Linked DNA regions of Xenopus tropicalis. The protein of the gene in region 1 purifies or fractionates together with the protein of each later gene. This does not show direct contact. Links are inferred from orthologs where the notes say so. Each region holds a gene or a part of one and is shown on either strand. Other genes may lie near its edges.

Region 1 (4,280 bases):
CTTGTTTCTGCTTGCCTAAAGCTGAACTTCCTTGTTACTCTAACAGTATAATCACTTGAACACCTGTAAAATGCATACAGAAGCTGCTATAAGCCCCTGTTATGGCAACCCATGTAAACAGTGTAGCAGTCAGTGCACAAAAAGTCACACAACATGGCACAGAAAGTGGGGGGAAAACAAGTGCAATATAGAGCAGGAGCTGGTAACCCCCTGTTGCCACCTGAGTAAGCATGTGAGACTAAAGAGAGATGACAGTTGAGTTGAGTGGGGAAGCTGGGGTGACCAGTGTTACACAGAGTATGCAGCCATGCATATAAGGGAATATGTTCTTACCAAACTTATAAGGGTGCACCCTTAGTTTTCATGCACAGAGCACTTGAGGGAATAGCTCTTGTACACCTCATGGCGCATAAAAATTGAATAAATGATGCACAATTTAGGGAACGGTCTGGGGGGAATGCCTACATGCCTCCCGTTGCCCTCCCCTCATGAATACAGTGCTTCTAAACAGAGACGGCACTGTATTCATGGGGATAGTCACAGGTCCCTTTGTTCTGAAACAGAGCACAGAGACTTGTGGCAATACAACAGATAAAGGCAGTGTGCAAAGTCTGAAAAATGTCTGCCTTCCTTGATGTAAATATTATGCAACAAATAAACTTATCTCCTGGTTCCATTCCAGATTTCCACATAGAGTTTAATGGAGTTTTCTTGTGCTAAATGTTTCTTATCAAACTCAATCTGACCCAGTGTATCCATTGCAATATGGATTTGTGGATTTATTAAAGCATGGGGAGTGTGCTCAGTAGGAGCTGAAGCTGCTGCTGTGCAGTGTATAAAATAATGAATCAAACTGTAAGGAAGTCAGCATTCTGCCCTACTTACCTGCTACTGGGAACCCTGAGAAGTGGGGGAAAAACTAATTCATATTTAAAATGTTAGTAAATTAGAAAATAGAATGCACTTAAAAGAAATTATTATTTGTGGTGTTCTGTTTGACACCCCATTGAGCAGCACCGCTGTTCTTCCCCCTTTTTGCTTTGTTATAATGCTGACATTGGCATTTAATATACATGCATGTGCCCTATTCTGAATGTGTATTATGCACATTATTTTAACTTCTATAATTGGCAATTACTGTGAGCACTTAGAGAGCAGTAGGGGGCTTATACAGTGCTGCAGGCAAACATTTAACCCATGCATTGTCAAACAGCGTACAGTGAGCCTGGGACAAATAACATGATAATATATAATAATGTAATTATTCATAATGGCTCTGTCGGGATTATATGTTGTGGAGTGGCTATGAGGGTCTGTTCTTTTGCTATTCACTAATACTACTTTACTGCGATTCATTAAACCTTCCTTAATATTTTCTTAATAGGTTCTCTAATCATATATCAAACCACGTTTAATGAAACATATGCACAAAATATAGGGCATTTTACTAAGAGACTGGAAGTAGTGAGGCCAGTTTTCAGAGACAGTTGCTGGGTGGGGCATGTTCAAATGATGAAAAAGGGATGGGTATGTCAGGGCCTAGGGGAACTGTAGATGCAGCTGTTGGAGGGGAGAAAATGAAATGCAGGGAAGGAGAGACTGTTGTGTATGTGGATAAAAGGTGAGGATGCTTCTAGAGTAGACATGGAAAGGAAGAGGTTAAGAGTGGAGAATTTCCTCTAACACAGTAGTGAAAGGTAACATATTAGTGGGAAACAAGTGCAATAACGATGTGCTGCTTTCTGGTGTTCTAGAATTTCTATTTTGCTGCTGAAATTCCTGTTTTTTGCTTACAACAATGAAAGCCACACACCCTTTTACTTAGAACAATACAATAGTATTCCATTATTCCATTCCATTTTGTGATATGAACAAAATGGCAATCGTAACAAGTTTTGGGCCAGTGATTCTTGCTTTTCTTTGTGTTTACAAATGTATCTTGGCACAATTGTGCAATGTCACACCCAAAATAACCTCTGAGATTGGCAGATATCTGTGACACCTCAGACACACCTAGGTTCTGGGATTCCAGGTACACTCATATTTCATCCTGTTGACAAACAAATTGCATTTTGCAATTAATGTGAAATAAAATTGGGTGCAATGAAAGGGAGACTTCCATCTGCATTTATTCCCTAACCATGCGTTAACATTCCTAATATCATGCTGCCACTCCCAATTTGCACACAGAAGCCTTGATGTGTCTAGTTATACCCATTTGGATGCATTTGCTTATTGACTTGGCAGGTCAAGCCTTAGGAATGTAAATCCTGTTTGGGTCAGTTAGGGATTGTCACACAGTATAAACAAAGCTTTAGAGAGTTAAAGGGTTAATGCCTTCATAGCTTAATTCTCTGTTCCCCCTACTTGGTTTGAATGTTCTTTTTTGGTGGTGATCACCTAGTGCAATATACAAACACCATGACTTGGTGCATCAGTAGTTGAAATTTTGTAACCGATTACGGTACTGACCAGTATCCAAAGTACATGGATATCAGTCTGGCTTGGAGGGGCAACATGTGTACCAATAGTCATTCGAAACAGCTGTTGGTAAATATACAGTTTAAAGGTGATCCAAGTCCAAAAACTGTTTTGTTTTTTTGTATTATATAAAACAAAAATTGCCTTTAAATTCAGAGGACTTGTCCTGTTAATGTTTTTATATTTAAATTATTCCTACAGTAAGAAACTGGCATGATGTGAAGATTCATGGCTCATCAGAACTTCATCTTATCTACTTACACGGACTGGAGAAAGAAGGCTGTATACCACAGTTGATAATACCGACTCCAGTATCCATGTCATACAGTCATGAGAGGTAGGTAACCACTAGGGCTTCATTATTGTGATAGTTAACACATCTATTTCCCGGACAAACAAATGTAAAATACTTTTGCAACTTAGTGAAATTCTTACTTTTAAAAATTCTGAATATATTTGATATATTCACAGTTGGGGATTAAACCCTTTCCTTGCCAACCCTCACAGCTGCATGACAAAACTGAAAGTAATTCAAAAAGTATAAAAAAATTAAATTTGAAGACCTGTTCAAATTTGTCTTAGAATACCACTGTCCATATTGCATTAAAATTTACAATCGAAGAATGTTATCCTGACCTACGTAAAGTGTCATATGAGCTTTGTTTTTCAATACTTTTTCTATTCTGTAGAATTAAAATGAAAAGAAATGTTTGTTCTATAAAGAATATACAAAAAAAATATAATATCAAAGGAGCTGTAAACCCAAATGTAAACTTTTACATAATGAAAGCAGACAATTTAAATTAACCTTCTGATATACATGAGTGATGTTAAATTTATTAAAAAAAGTCTGAAAGGCATTGCGGGTAATGGAGTATTGGCTGTAGGAGATCATGTAGTCAGAAACAGCTGTGCAAAGAATGCACAAATACAGATAGATTAGAAACTGCTTTTAGTAGCAAAGTATTGAAAACATCATTGGAAATTTGCAATTTGTGCATATTGGAAAATTACTTAGAATATAGTTGCCTATTATTGTGCAAAATGTTTTTAAGCATCTCAGTGTCTGCCATTGCCACCCACAGAGGTCCAGAAGGCACTAAACTTGTACAGCAGTGATGTCCTAGCCACCCCGAAACCAGCAGGGGGGGCAAGTTCAAGCCATAAAACTACATCCAATTGGCAACTGAACTCTGTCCTTGGCCCACCCTGTCTGTGACATCATTATATCCTGCTTTCACCTCCAGTTGTCACTATATTTATATATTTGCACCTGCATAGCCCCCCTTCCTTTTTTTGATGTCACAAGTGGGGTGGGGGCAGTGTGGGTAATAAGTATTGATAGCACAACATGTCAGGTAGGGTTCGGGTTGGGAGCGGTCTGGTTAGGTCAGGTGTAGGTTGTCTTTTTGTCGAAGCACACATCACTATTGTGCAGAGCTGCCTGATCCCAGGAATGAACTAGCCAAATGGAAGTTACAAATCAGTGCTGCTGCTCCAGAGAACATAAGATGGCCATACCTGCCTAGATTTCAAGCATAAACGCCTAACCATCTAGGCACGTATAGACATTGGAAGGGCAGCTTAAAATGATATAAGATTATAGGAAAACTTCTGCGGATTGGCTAAAAAAAAGTGAAGTGGAGCCACAGTTGTCCTCAATGGACAGAACAATGCAAGGGTGGTCACTCTCACATCCATGCTACCTGCAGCCCAACTGGTCAGTTACCATGCAAGCCTGGCCCATAATTGTACATTTGATCTGGGGTGAAAAATGTTTCTCATACAATGTCTATGTT
Region 2 (4,775 bases), on another chromosome or scaffold:
GATAGATAGATAGATAGATAGAGGATATATAGATAGATAGATGATAGATAGATAGATGGATAGATAGATATATAGATAGATAGATAGAGGATATATAGATAGATGATAGATAGATGACAGATAGATAGATGGATAGATAGATACATAGATGGATAAATAGATAGATAGATGGATGGATAGATAGATAGAGGATCTATAGATAGATAGATAGATAGATAGATAGATAGATAGATAGATAGATAGATGATAGATAGATGATAGATAGATAGATACAGAGATGATAGATAGATATGATAGATAAGAAATAGACAGACAGGTATATAGAGAGATACTAGATAGACGATATATATATATATATATATATATATAGATGATTGATGAGTGATAGACAGACAGACAGACAGACAGAGAATATAACTGGGAACTAGGGTTGCCTGACGAAAGTCTTAGGTAAGGACTGAAACGTTGGAAATAAATCTCACCGCTTGCATCTGAAAAAGCCTTTATTGTTTTTGTGCTTAGATGATTAAATCCTATGAGTGCCGACACTTTTACTTGGCTGGAGATTTTCTTGCTCTGGCACCGAGGTTTAGTGCCATTATTTGGTGTGCTCCCCACTCTGGACTCTATATATATAGATAGATAGATAGATAGATAGATAGATAGATAGATAGATGATTGATGAGTGACAGACAGACAGACAGACAGACAGACAGAGAATATAACTGGGAATTAGGGTTGCCACTTAGCCCTACAATTCATGCTGGATCTCACTGTCAATAATAGGGAAAAAAGATAAATATATAGAAAGACCTGTATTTTTTCCCACAAAAGGTGTAAACTTTACATGCGACACACACAGGGGAATACCAAGCAGTAGTGAGAAGGTTGAATAAGTTCTAATTAATGTGAAATAAAGTGATAAAGCATAAGCGGGTAGCAGTTTAGGGGTGTTGGGGGGGCAGGGTACTGGGGGGGGCCCGGAGTGTTGGGGGGGCAGGGTACTGGGGGGGCCCGGAGTGTTGGGGGGGCAGGGTACTGGGGGGGGGGGGCCCGGAGTGTTGGGGGGGCAGGGTACTGGGGGGGCCCGGAGTGTTGGGGGGCAGGGTACTGGGGGGGGGGGCCCGGAGTGTTGGGGGGGCAGGGTACTGGGGGGCCTGGAGTGTTGGGGGGGCAGGGTATTGGGGGGCCCCGGGGTATTGGGGGGGCAGGGTACTGGGGGGGGCCCGGAGTGTTGGGGGGGCAGGGTACTGGGGGGCCCCGGGGTATTGGGGGGGCAGGGTACTGGGGGGGCCCGGAGTGTTGGGGGGGCAGGGTACTGGGGGGGGCCCGGAGTGTTGGGGGGGCAGGGTACTGGGGGGGGGGCCCCGGAGTGTTGGGGGGGCAGGGTACTGGGGGGGGGCCCGGAGTGTTGGGGGGGCAGGGTACTGGGGGGGGGGCCCGGAGTGTTGGGGGGGCAGGGTACTGGGTGGGCCCGGAGTGTTGGGGGGGCAGGGTACTGGGGGGGGGGGGGGCCCGGAGTGTTGGGGGGGCAGGGTATTGGGGGGCCCCGGGGTATTGGGGGGGGCAGGGTACTGGGGGGGGCTCGGAGTGTTGGGGGGCAGGGTACTGGGGGGGGCAGGGTACTGGGGGGCCCCGGGGTATTGGGGGGGCAGGATACTGGGGGGGGCGGGGTATTGGGGGGGGAGTCCTGCCCCACGTGGGGTGGAAGTGCCCTGAGTGCACACTGGGCTGAGCCTGTGAGTCCCGGCAGTTCCCACACTGTCCCGGCCTGAGAGACACGAATCCCGGGGCTGGCACAGCTCTCTATCCCTGGCACAGCTGCCCCCCCGCCCAGGGACTGCCTTATAAGCACAGCGGCTCGGATGTGGCGCACAGCCCGGTCTCACGATGCTCAGGTGAGTGCGGAGCCGCTTAGGCCGCAGAAGCCTCGGACTTTCCTGAAACCGGCACCGCGCTCGGCCACTCGCGTTGGAAGTGTTAGTGGGGCAGCGCGTTAGGGGTAGGGGGTTCCCAGTCGGAGGGTGGATACTGGGGGCTTATTGCCCTTTCCTCCTTGTGCTGTTACTGTACAACTTTATTATATACCTGTTTGCCTTATATACATGACTGCCCTGTGTGTGGCCTTACAGTAGAGGCCCCTAGCAGTGTATTGGCCCCCTAGCAGTGTATTGGCCCCTAGCAGCGTATTGGCCCCTAGCAGCGTATTGGCCCCCTAGCAGCGTATTGGCCCCCTAGCAGCGTATTGGCCCCCTAGCAGCGTATTGGCCCCTAGCAGCGTATTGGCCCCCTAGCAGCGTATTGGCCCCCTAGCAGCGTATTGGCCCCCTAGCAGCGTATTGGCCCCCTAGCAGCGTATTGGCCCCTAGCAGCGTATTGGCCCCCTAGCAGCGTATTGGCCCCTAGCAGCGTATTGGCCCCCTAGCAGCGTATTGGCCCCCTAGCAGCGTATTGGCCCCCTAGCAGCGTATTGGCCCCCTAGCAGCGTATTGGCCCCCTAGCAGCGTATTGGCCCCTAGCAGCGTATTGGCCCCCTAGCAGCGTATTGGCCCCCTAGCAGCGTATTGGCCCCTAGCAGCGTATTGGCCCCTAGCAGCGTATTGGCCCCTAGCAGCGTATTGGCCCCTAGCAGTGTATTGGGGGAAGAATTGCTCGTTTAGTGACCTCGCCAGACAAACAAATCTTACTGTGTATGGCCACCTTAAGGGTGAAGACACACAGAGCTACTTAGTAGCAGCTACACGTCACGGCTACTAAACATCAGAAAATCCCCTGCCAATCTCCTGACAATACTGAGAATTGCTTATAGCTTCTGATGAAGTGGCGTTGAGCCATGAAACGCGTTAAGCTGGGGGGGTTTCAGTTTCTCAATATGTTTTTAATGGAAGCAAGAAATAAAGGATAATTTTTTACTGAAAAAGTCGTCCTGGCGTGCTCCATCCAACAATGCTAACTTTTCTGCAGTACTGAGAATTGCCTTTGCTAAGGGCCGTTACAGACGGGGAGATTAGTCGCCCGTGACAAATCTCCCTTGTCGCGGGCGACTAATCTCCCCCAAATGCCATCGCTGGTGGGATGGCATACGCGGCGTGGCGATTTGCCTTGAGAGGAAACTTTGGCACTGTGTATGCTATCCCACCGGCGATTTACATTCTAGCTGGTTGGATGGCATTTCGGGGAGATTAGTCGCCCGCGACAAGGGAGATTTGGTGCGGGCGACTAATCTCCCCGTCTGTCACGGCCCTAAAACACACATAGAGACAATTATCAGTAAATGATCAGCATTGTCTATTTTAGTAGCCGTGACAGGTAGCTGCTACTAGTAGCTCTGTGTGTCTTCACCCTAAGGGCTCTGGCACACAGGGCGATTAGTCGCCGCAACTTTTTGATAATTTGCGGCATCTAATAGGTGAGATGCAGTTGTACTCTATGCGCAGAAAGTCGCAGCAATTAGTCGCCGCGACTGAGTTAATTAAAACTCAGTCGCACCGACTAATCGCCTCGTGTGTCTTTGGCGTAAGTCAGTAAGATCTGGGCACCTTATGGTATCAGTGACGTGCGGACAGGACATATAAACCCAGATATTATGACATAGCCCATTGGGTCCTGGATTTAAGCAAAGCCCTTATAACTATTGGCACTGCTGGCGCTAGTGTTAAGTAGTGTATCTATCTGGCAATGTCTATAAAATGTCCCATCAAATAAAGTGTTTACTTTCCCTACAGCCCAGAGGAACTGCTTGCCGCCAGGAGCCGTGAGAAGAGCATCCCTCAGCGCTCCCATGGGCAAAAGGACTTTCTGCCCGACGGCTCCGAGGCTCAGAACGAGAAGCTGCGGCTGTGCCGCGCCGAGCAATGGGAGCTGCTAAAAGAGGAGCGTGTGGAGCGATTGTGAGTGTTTAGGGGTGCCCTCCATGTGTAGGGAAAAGGGATATTCAGGGTGGATATATATATATATATATATATATAGCAAATTATGTGCACTTCATTTGATAAGGTTACATGCCTAGATGCAGGAGTCTACTGGAAATGATAGAACAATGTGTAACACTGCACTCACGGGTCTTTAGTGAAAAGCAAAAAATCTATTTATTAAATCAATTAATTTCTTTTTTGCTTTTCACTAAATACCTGTGAGTGCGGTGTTACATGTTGGCCTATATACATATATTTATTTATATATATATTGTTGCTATCTGGTAGTGATTAAACTCCGTATTGTTTGCTTGCACTAGTATTGTCTGTGCCTGGTTTATAAATACCTCATTAGTAACAGGAATTACCTCTCTTCCCCATGTTTTGTCTGGCTGCCTTAGAACAACAGCTGATCTACTCTCCCTAGCATTTCGGGTAGCTTTTAGAACTGGATCATTTTACTCACATAACCCATCAGGATGTATTCTTTCACCATTTTGACCTTGGTAAAAATTGCTGCCTCTGTGGTTACTGACTCGCTCGCTCTTCCTGCCAGCCAGGCCTGGACTTGGACCCCACTGTGGGGGTCTCTGGGGTGGCAGCCCCGGTGGGCTCTGCTCCCCCCAGTCCGACCCTGGATGCCAGCTTTAAAATAGGGAGCAATAGACCCAAAGTTTATACAACGAGGACTAGGTACCCCTGGAGGTGGGTTGGGATTTCACTTTTGGTGTCATTATCATTGTTATCTTATTGGGCATTGCATATTAAATCATTGGAAAGGCTTAAGGTACCCATACACTGGCAGATTGTAGCTGCCAATATTGGTCCCTTAGACAGATTCGGCAGCTTATCGGCCCGTGT
Region 3 (4,992 bases), on another chromosome or scaffold:
TTGGGGAGAATGCTGGATGATGTTGGAGAGAAAGCCGGGGGATGTTGGGAAGAACGCTGGGGGGAGCTGGATGATGTTGGGGAGGATGCTGGGGGGAGCTGGATGATGTTGGGGAGGATGCTGGGGGGAGCTGGAGTATGGTGGGGAGGATGCTGGGGGGAGCTGGAGAATGTTGGAGAGAAAGCCGGGGGATGCTGGGAAGAACGCTGGGGGGAGCTGGATGATGTTGGGGAGGATGCTGGGGGGAGCTGGATGATGTTGGGGAGGATGCTGGGGGGAGCTGGAGTATGGTGGGGAGGATGCTGGGGGGAGCTGGAGTATGGTGGGGAGGATGCTGGGGGGAGCTGGAGTATGGTGGGGAGGATGCTGGGGGGAGCTGGAGTATGGTGGGGAGGATGCTGGGGGGAGCTGGAGTATGGTGGGGAGGATGCTGGGGGGAGCTGGAGTATGGTGGGGAGGATGCTGGGGGGAGCTGGAGTATGGTGGGGAGGACACTGAGGGGAGCTGGAGGATGTTGGGGAGGACGCTGAGGGGAGCTGTCATTTTATTTGTATTTATTTTGATTATTGAAACTTAGCAGTAGCGGCTGCATTTCCCACCCTAGGCTTATACTCGAGTCAATAAGTTTTTCCAGTTTTCTTAGGTAAAATTAGGTACCTCGGCTTATATTCGGGTCGGCTTATACTCGAGTATATACGGTAATCAAATCTGTAAAAAATAGAGAAATCTTAAAATGAGTCCATGTATATACAACCTATCCCAAATGCTTAAAACATTTTCCCCAAAGGATACTTTGTGCCCTTTAGCACTTATTATTGTTACTTAGTACTATTTGTGCCCTATTAATGGGATTACGATAATCGTTAATTATATATATATATATTCTTTTCTGCAGATATAAAATTTAAATGAGGAATTGTGCAGTACTTCAGGGACAGGTCATTTTTTTCCCTGGTCTAGGGTTAGTTTATTCAGTAACACGTTACCTTTAGACTTTAGCGATTTCCTACTACTGACAATATTGTACAAGGTTATTTGTTAATTTGTTTATTTTTTTTTTATTGCAAGTTTAAAAGGGAAAGTAAACCTTTAAAATTTTCCTTTGCTGATCTGTTTGTGTCCAGAACCACAGAAAGTCTATACAGATATTTCTGTGTAGCGCTGTAGTGATTATTGAAAAGTGTTATTGAGGGTCTAGGCATAAAATGATACACAAGGTTCTATAGTGCTTGCTAAACACAGCACAAAAAATGCATCATACTCCAACATTTCACCAAACAAAAAACCTGCAGCACACCCCAAAACTCCCCACACCCTGAGGATCAAAAAAGTACACTCCAAAATATCCAATCATATGCCAAAATTTTCATTTTCCCTACAGAGGAAAAAAAAACCCCACCCCAAACCCCATACAAAATGTATAAAATGTACACCTCTTCCACCCCAAAAAAAAAAATATTGAGGGCAACATCCCTCAGAATGCCAATACCTGTAAATAAATGAGACCCACAGGCTCCACTTAATGCATCATCTAACAAAAAAATCCCACTATAAAACTGATTCAACTCTAGTATCCCTCAAGCGCACCCCCAAACTCACCGAGCGCAGCAATGGCAGAGCTTCCACAAGAAAAACAACCAAATAGTTCAGTCCTATAGTCACTGATCATAGCACCTACTCAAGTGTGTCTCACTGCACTCCCCCAATACACACTGACCTCTAAGCCCGACACTCACTCATTTATTTATTTATTCATCCATTCACTCACTGAAAGACCGTATCCCACTGAGTTTATTTTATATTATTTACTTTATAAATAATACGTCCATAACCACCCAGAGGCAAGCGGCCCCTTGGCACTAGCAGCGAGCGCCTCTGGATACGGGATGTGACGTGCAGTCTCGCGAGATGAGATTGTGACGTCTGAATTAGTGGCCAGCGTGAAGACAACGAGCGAGACTCTAACTGAGCTGAGGAACTTTTAATCGGAGATTTGGCACTGCGGCCTGGTGGTATGCTTTCCTCTGTAGTGCTTGGGAAGGAGTCTCTCTATTTGCATTTCCTTACATTTACAAGTAGAGTAATTCCATCTAGTTTATTAGGTATTTTATGGTGCGCATAAAGGGTAGAGGATCGCCGATTGAATAGAAATTGTAAACTTAAACGGACCGTATACCACATTTCAAAATAGGTTTAATTAAAAAGTCTGAACATGCTTTTTAACTGTTGTTTTGATAATTAAAAATATATATATATATTTTTTTAGCTAAAAAGTGAACTTGAAGTTACTCAATGTTTAGAGCAAACCTTTTTCATTAAACCCATGTTGGATTTACTGCCCCTTTAAGTGTTTGACAGTTTCAAGGTTTTTGATGCTAAGGTGTGGGTGGGAAAACACAGTTAATCCATAGGTGTCTACTAACGGGGTTATAGTACTGTCTTGCATATAAAAGGCAATTGACTCAAGGTATACAAACATCATATCATTTTGCATAGTTAGAAATCACTGGTGAGGCCTCACCTTATGCTGTGCAGTTTTGGGCCCCAGTACTTAAGAAGGATATTAATGATGTGGAAAGAGTGAAAAGATGTGCAACTAAACTGGTAAAACAAATAAAACCACAGAATATGAAAGTAAAATCTGCTGCCATTTTGGGCAGGGTAGTAAGTTTTATACCAATTCCTTTATTCCTTGACAGTGAAAGGGCCCTTGGACACTATTGTTTAAACTTTGCCTACTGTTGCCTATACAGAATTGTTATCTAGCAAGTGATATAGGGTGGTGTGATATGACCCTCTGTCTCATTTTTATTTCAGATAGCCTGCTTCATTAAATCTTCTCCCAAGAGCATGCTGTTCTTTCAACTTTAAAGCATACATTACATGCATTGTACATTAATTATTTCCTTGGGAGCACACCTGAACAGAGTGCTCCTAGAAGTTTTCTTAGAATGTACTACTGTTAATGCCGCTGCTCCAGAATATATGCGTGCTGCACTAATGTATGTTTTCTGTGGCTTACACACAATGCACAACTGGCCAAGTGTACACAGATATAGAAAATCAATTTGCCCATTTTTGTGTGTAGTGTTATTTTTGCCCTAAAATGTTTTATCTTCAGTTTAAAAAACTTGAGCGTTAATCATGCTGTGTAATTATTTCTAAGTTTTAAATACTTTATTGCAGTGTTAACTAACTTCTGTGGTACCGAGGGCCGGAATTTTTTTGGCCTACATGGTGAAGGGTCGATATTTGAAGCCAGTTTTGACCACTTCCCTTTTTTAAACTGCACCCACTTCAAACCACACCCATGTTATCATAAGAGCTTTTTAGGCCATACCCACATTAATTGGTGGTAGTGCAGCAAAAACCCAAATGGTTGGTGCTCACTGCAGGGATATCACCCTGCATTCTTATGTGAAAGAAGTTTATTAAGACATATCCTTAAATCCATATGCCTCCCCTGTGGATAGCGCAGCAACTCCCAGCACATAATTGCACACCTTAGGGACCATATAATGACTATTTCCAAATGCAAACAAACTCCCAGAACAATCCCCTGCCAGGTTCACCTCCCACAGGCAGCATAGGGCAGGCAAAGTATGGCACACACAGGCAGCACGGGCAGTCAGTACATACAGTGACACAATGCTGGCACTCTTCCTACAGTCTGTCTGAGATGTTAACAATGTGGGTTTTTACAGTCTGAGCCTGAGTTGTGAACAATGCAGGGACTAAAAGGTGTGAACAAAACAGGGTCTTAAAGCTGTGAACAATACATGGGGATTACTGGTATAAACAATGCAGTGAAAAATCTGCCATCACATCACCCAGGGTAGAGTTGCTGCAGCATCACTTTAAAAATTATCTTTATTGAATGAAAAGTGTATTTTCCAGATCTTCCATATATCATCTAAAGGTACTGGCTGACTAATAAAGTGCATATAAAAAGAAAAAAAAAAAATTTAATTATCTTCTGCTAGAATTGAGTTTATCAATCCTAAATAGGGACCTCTTGTTCTTTAATGTTTTCTATGTAAAAAAAAAAAAGCACTGTTTATATTGCCCTAATTTACTTGTAAAGAGTACTGGTACCCTTCCAAGCACCATTTCTCTAGACTTTCCTTGTGCTATCTTCCCTTTTACCTGCTTAGTTGCACATCTCTGCACCCTTTCTACGTTATTAACATGAGGCTTTTCCAGTGATCTATTAAGAGGCAAAATTACATACATATTTCTTCCCTTGAGTTAATTCCTTTTTTTAATGTAAGACTTTTTTTGCCTTAGTACTTCTTGAGTTTAGTCAAATCTCTCTGAAAAGTGGCAACATCCTGCTGCAAAATTGTTTTTCACAATCTAGTATCATCAACAAAAAAGTACTTCCAATGCTAACCTCAAAGTCATTAACTTTAGCTCTATGATTGCGGTCTATCTTTGGCTGTTTAGTATGTTTATTAAAGTACACTGGAGTGACTACCCTCAGGTCCTAGACCTTTGTTTATTTCACATGTTCTAGTCTCTTTTGAATTCCATCAACTAGCCATCCATAGTTAAATTATTAGTATTCAGTCTGTTAAAAAGGAAACCTTCATTAACTGGTTCCTTAGTTGTGTAAAAACATGAAAAATGACTGTGCTTTTACTTAACAATTTACTTACCTCTGATACTCTCACCATTCTTGCTTCATTTATAAATTATTTTGCACATCTAAAAATAATTTTGTTTTACTCCACTGCAATGCCCTTTCCTCTCTATTTTATCTTGCCTAATTAGTGTTTGCGCACTATATTAGCCTCTTTGTATCAAAGAAAATTTCCAGCTGTCCCAGCTAACCTTGGATCTCTTAAATATACATTTTTCTTTACCAACCTTTCCTTACTAACCCTTCTATCAAATCATAATAGTTTTGCTTTGCTATTTCTGTCCTTACTTACAAGGGGAATATACTGTCAGGTATATTAGTAAAGTAGCATTTTGAAGATATTTTATTTT

The links.
Region 2: the proteins of tsen15 (region 1) and tsen54 purify together in Homo sapiens (affinity purification with mass spectrometry; 4 studies listed by BioGRID and IntAct, counting the BioPlex papers as one, with this or other methods). This does not show direct contact. The link is inferred for Xenopus tropicalis from reciprocal best matches to the Homo sapiens genes TSEN15 and TSEN54.
Region 3: the proteins of tsen15 (region 1) and clp1 purify together in Homo sapiens (affinity purification with mass spectrometry; 4 studies listed by BioGRID and IntAct, counting the BioPlex papers as one, with this or other methods). This does not show direct contact. The link is inferred for Xenopus tropicalis from reciprocal best matches to the Homo sapiens genes TSEN15 and CLP1.

Annotation. Positions count from the first base shown.
Region 1 is NC_030680.2:120,012,635-120,016,914, forward strand, and holds part of tsen15 (tRNA-splicing endonuclease subunit Sen15), read left to right. Parts: intron 1-2,682; coding exon 2,683-2,818; intron 2,819-4,280. UniProt on the Homo sapiens protein: Non-catalytic subunit of the tRNA-splicing endonuclease complex, a complex responsible for identification and cleavage of the splice sites in pre-tRNA. It cleaves pre-tRNA at the 5' and 3' splice sites to release the intron.
Region 2 is NC_030686.2:44,545,585-44,550,359, forward strand, and holds the start of tsen54 (tRNA-splicing endonuclease subunit Sen54), read left to right. Parts: upstream 1-1,733; 5' UTR 1,734-1,890; coding exon 1,891-1,898; intron 1,899-3,725; coding exon 3,726-3,890; intron 3,891-4,775.
Region 3 is NC_030683.2:55,578,642-55,583,633, reverse strand, and holds the start of clp1 (polyribonucleotide 5'-hydroxyl-kinase Clp1), read left to right. Parts: upstream 1-1,950; 5' UTR 1,951-2,012; intron 2,013-4,992. UniProt on the Homo sapiens protein: Polynucleotide kinase that can phosphorylate the 5'-hydroxyl groups of double-stranded RNA (dsRNA), single-stranded RNA (ssRNA), double-stranded DNA (dsDNA) and double-stranded DNA:RNA hybrids. dsRNA is phosphorylated more efficiently than dsDNA, and the RNA component of a DNA:RNA hybrid is phosphorylated more efficiently than the DNA component.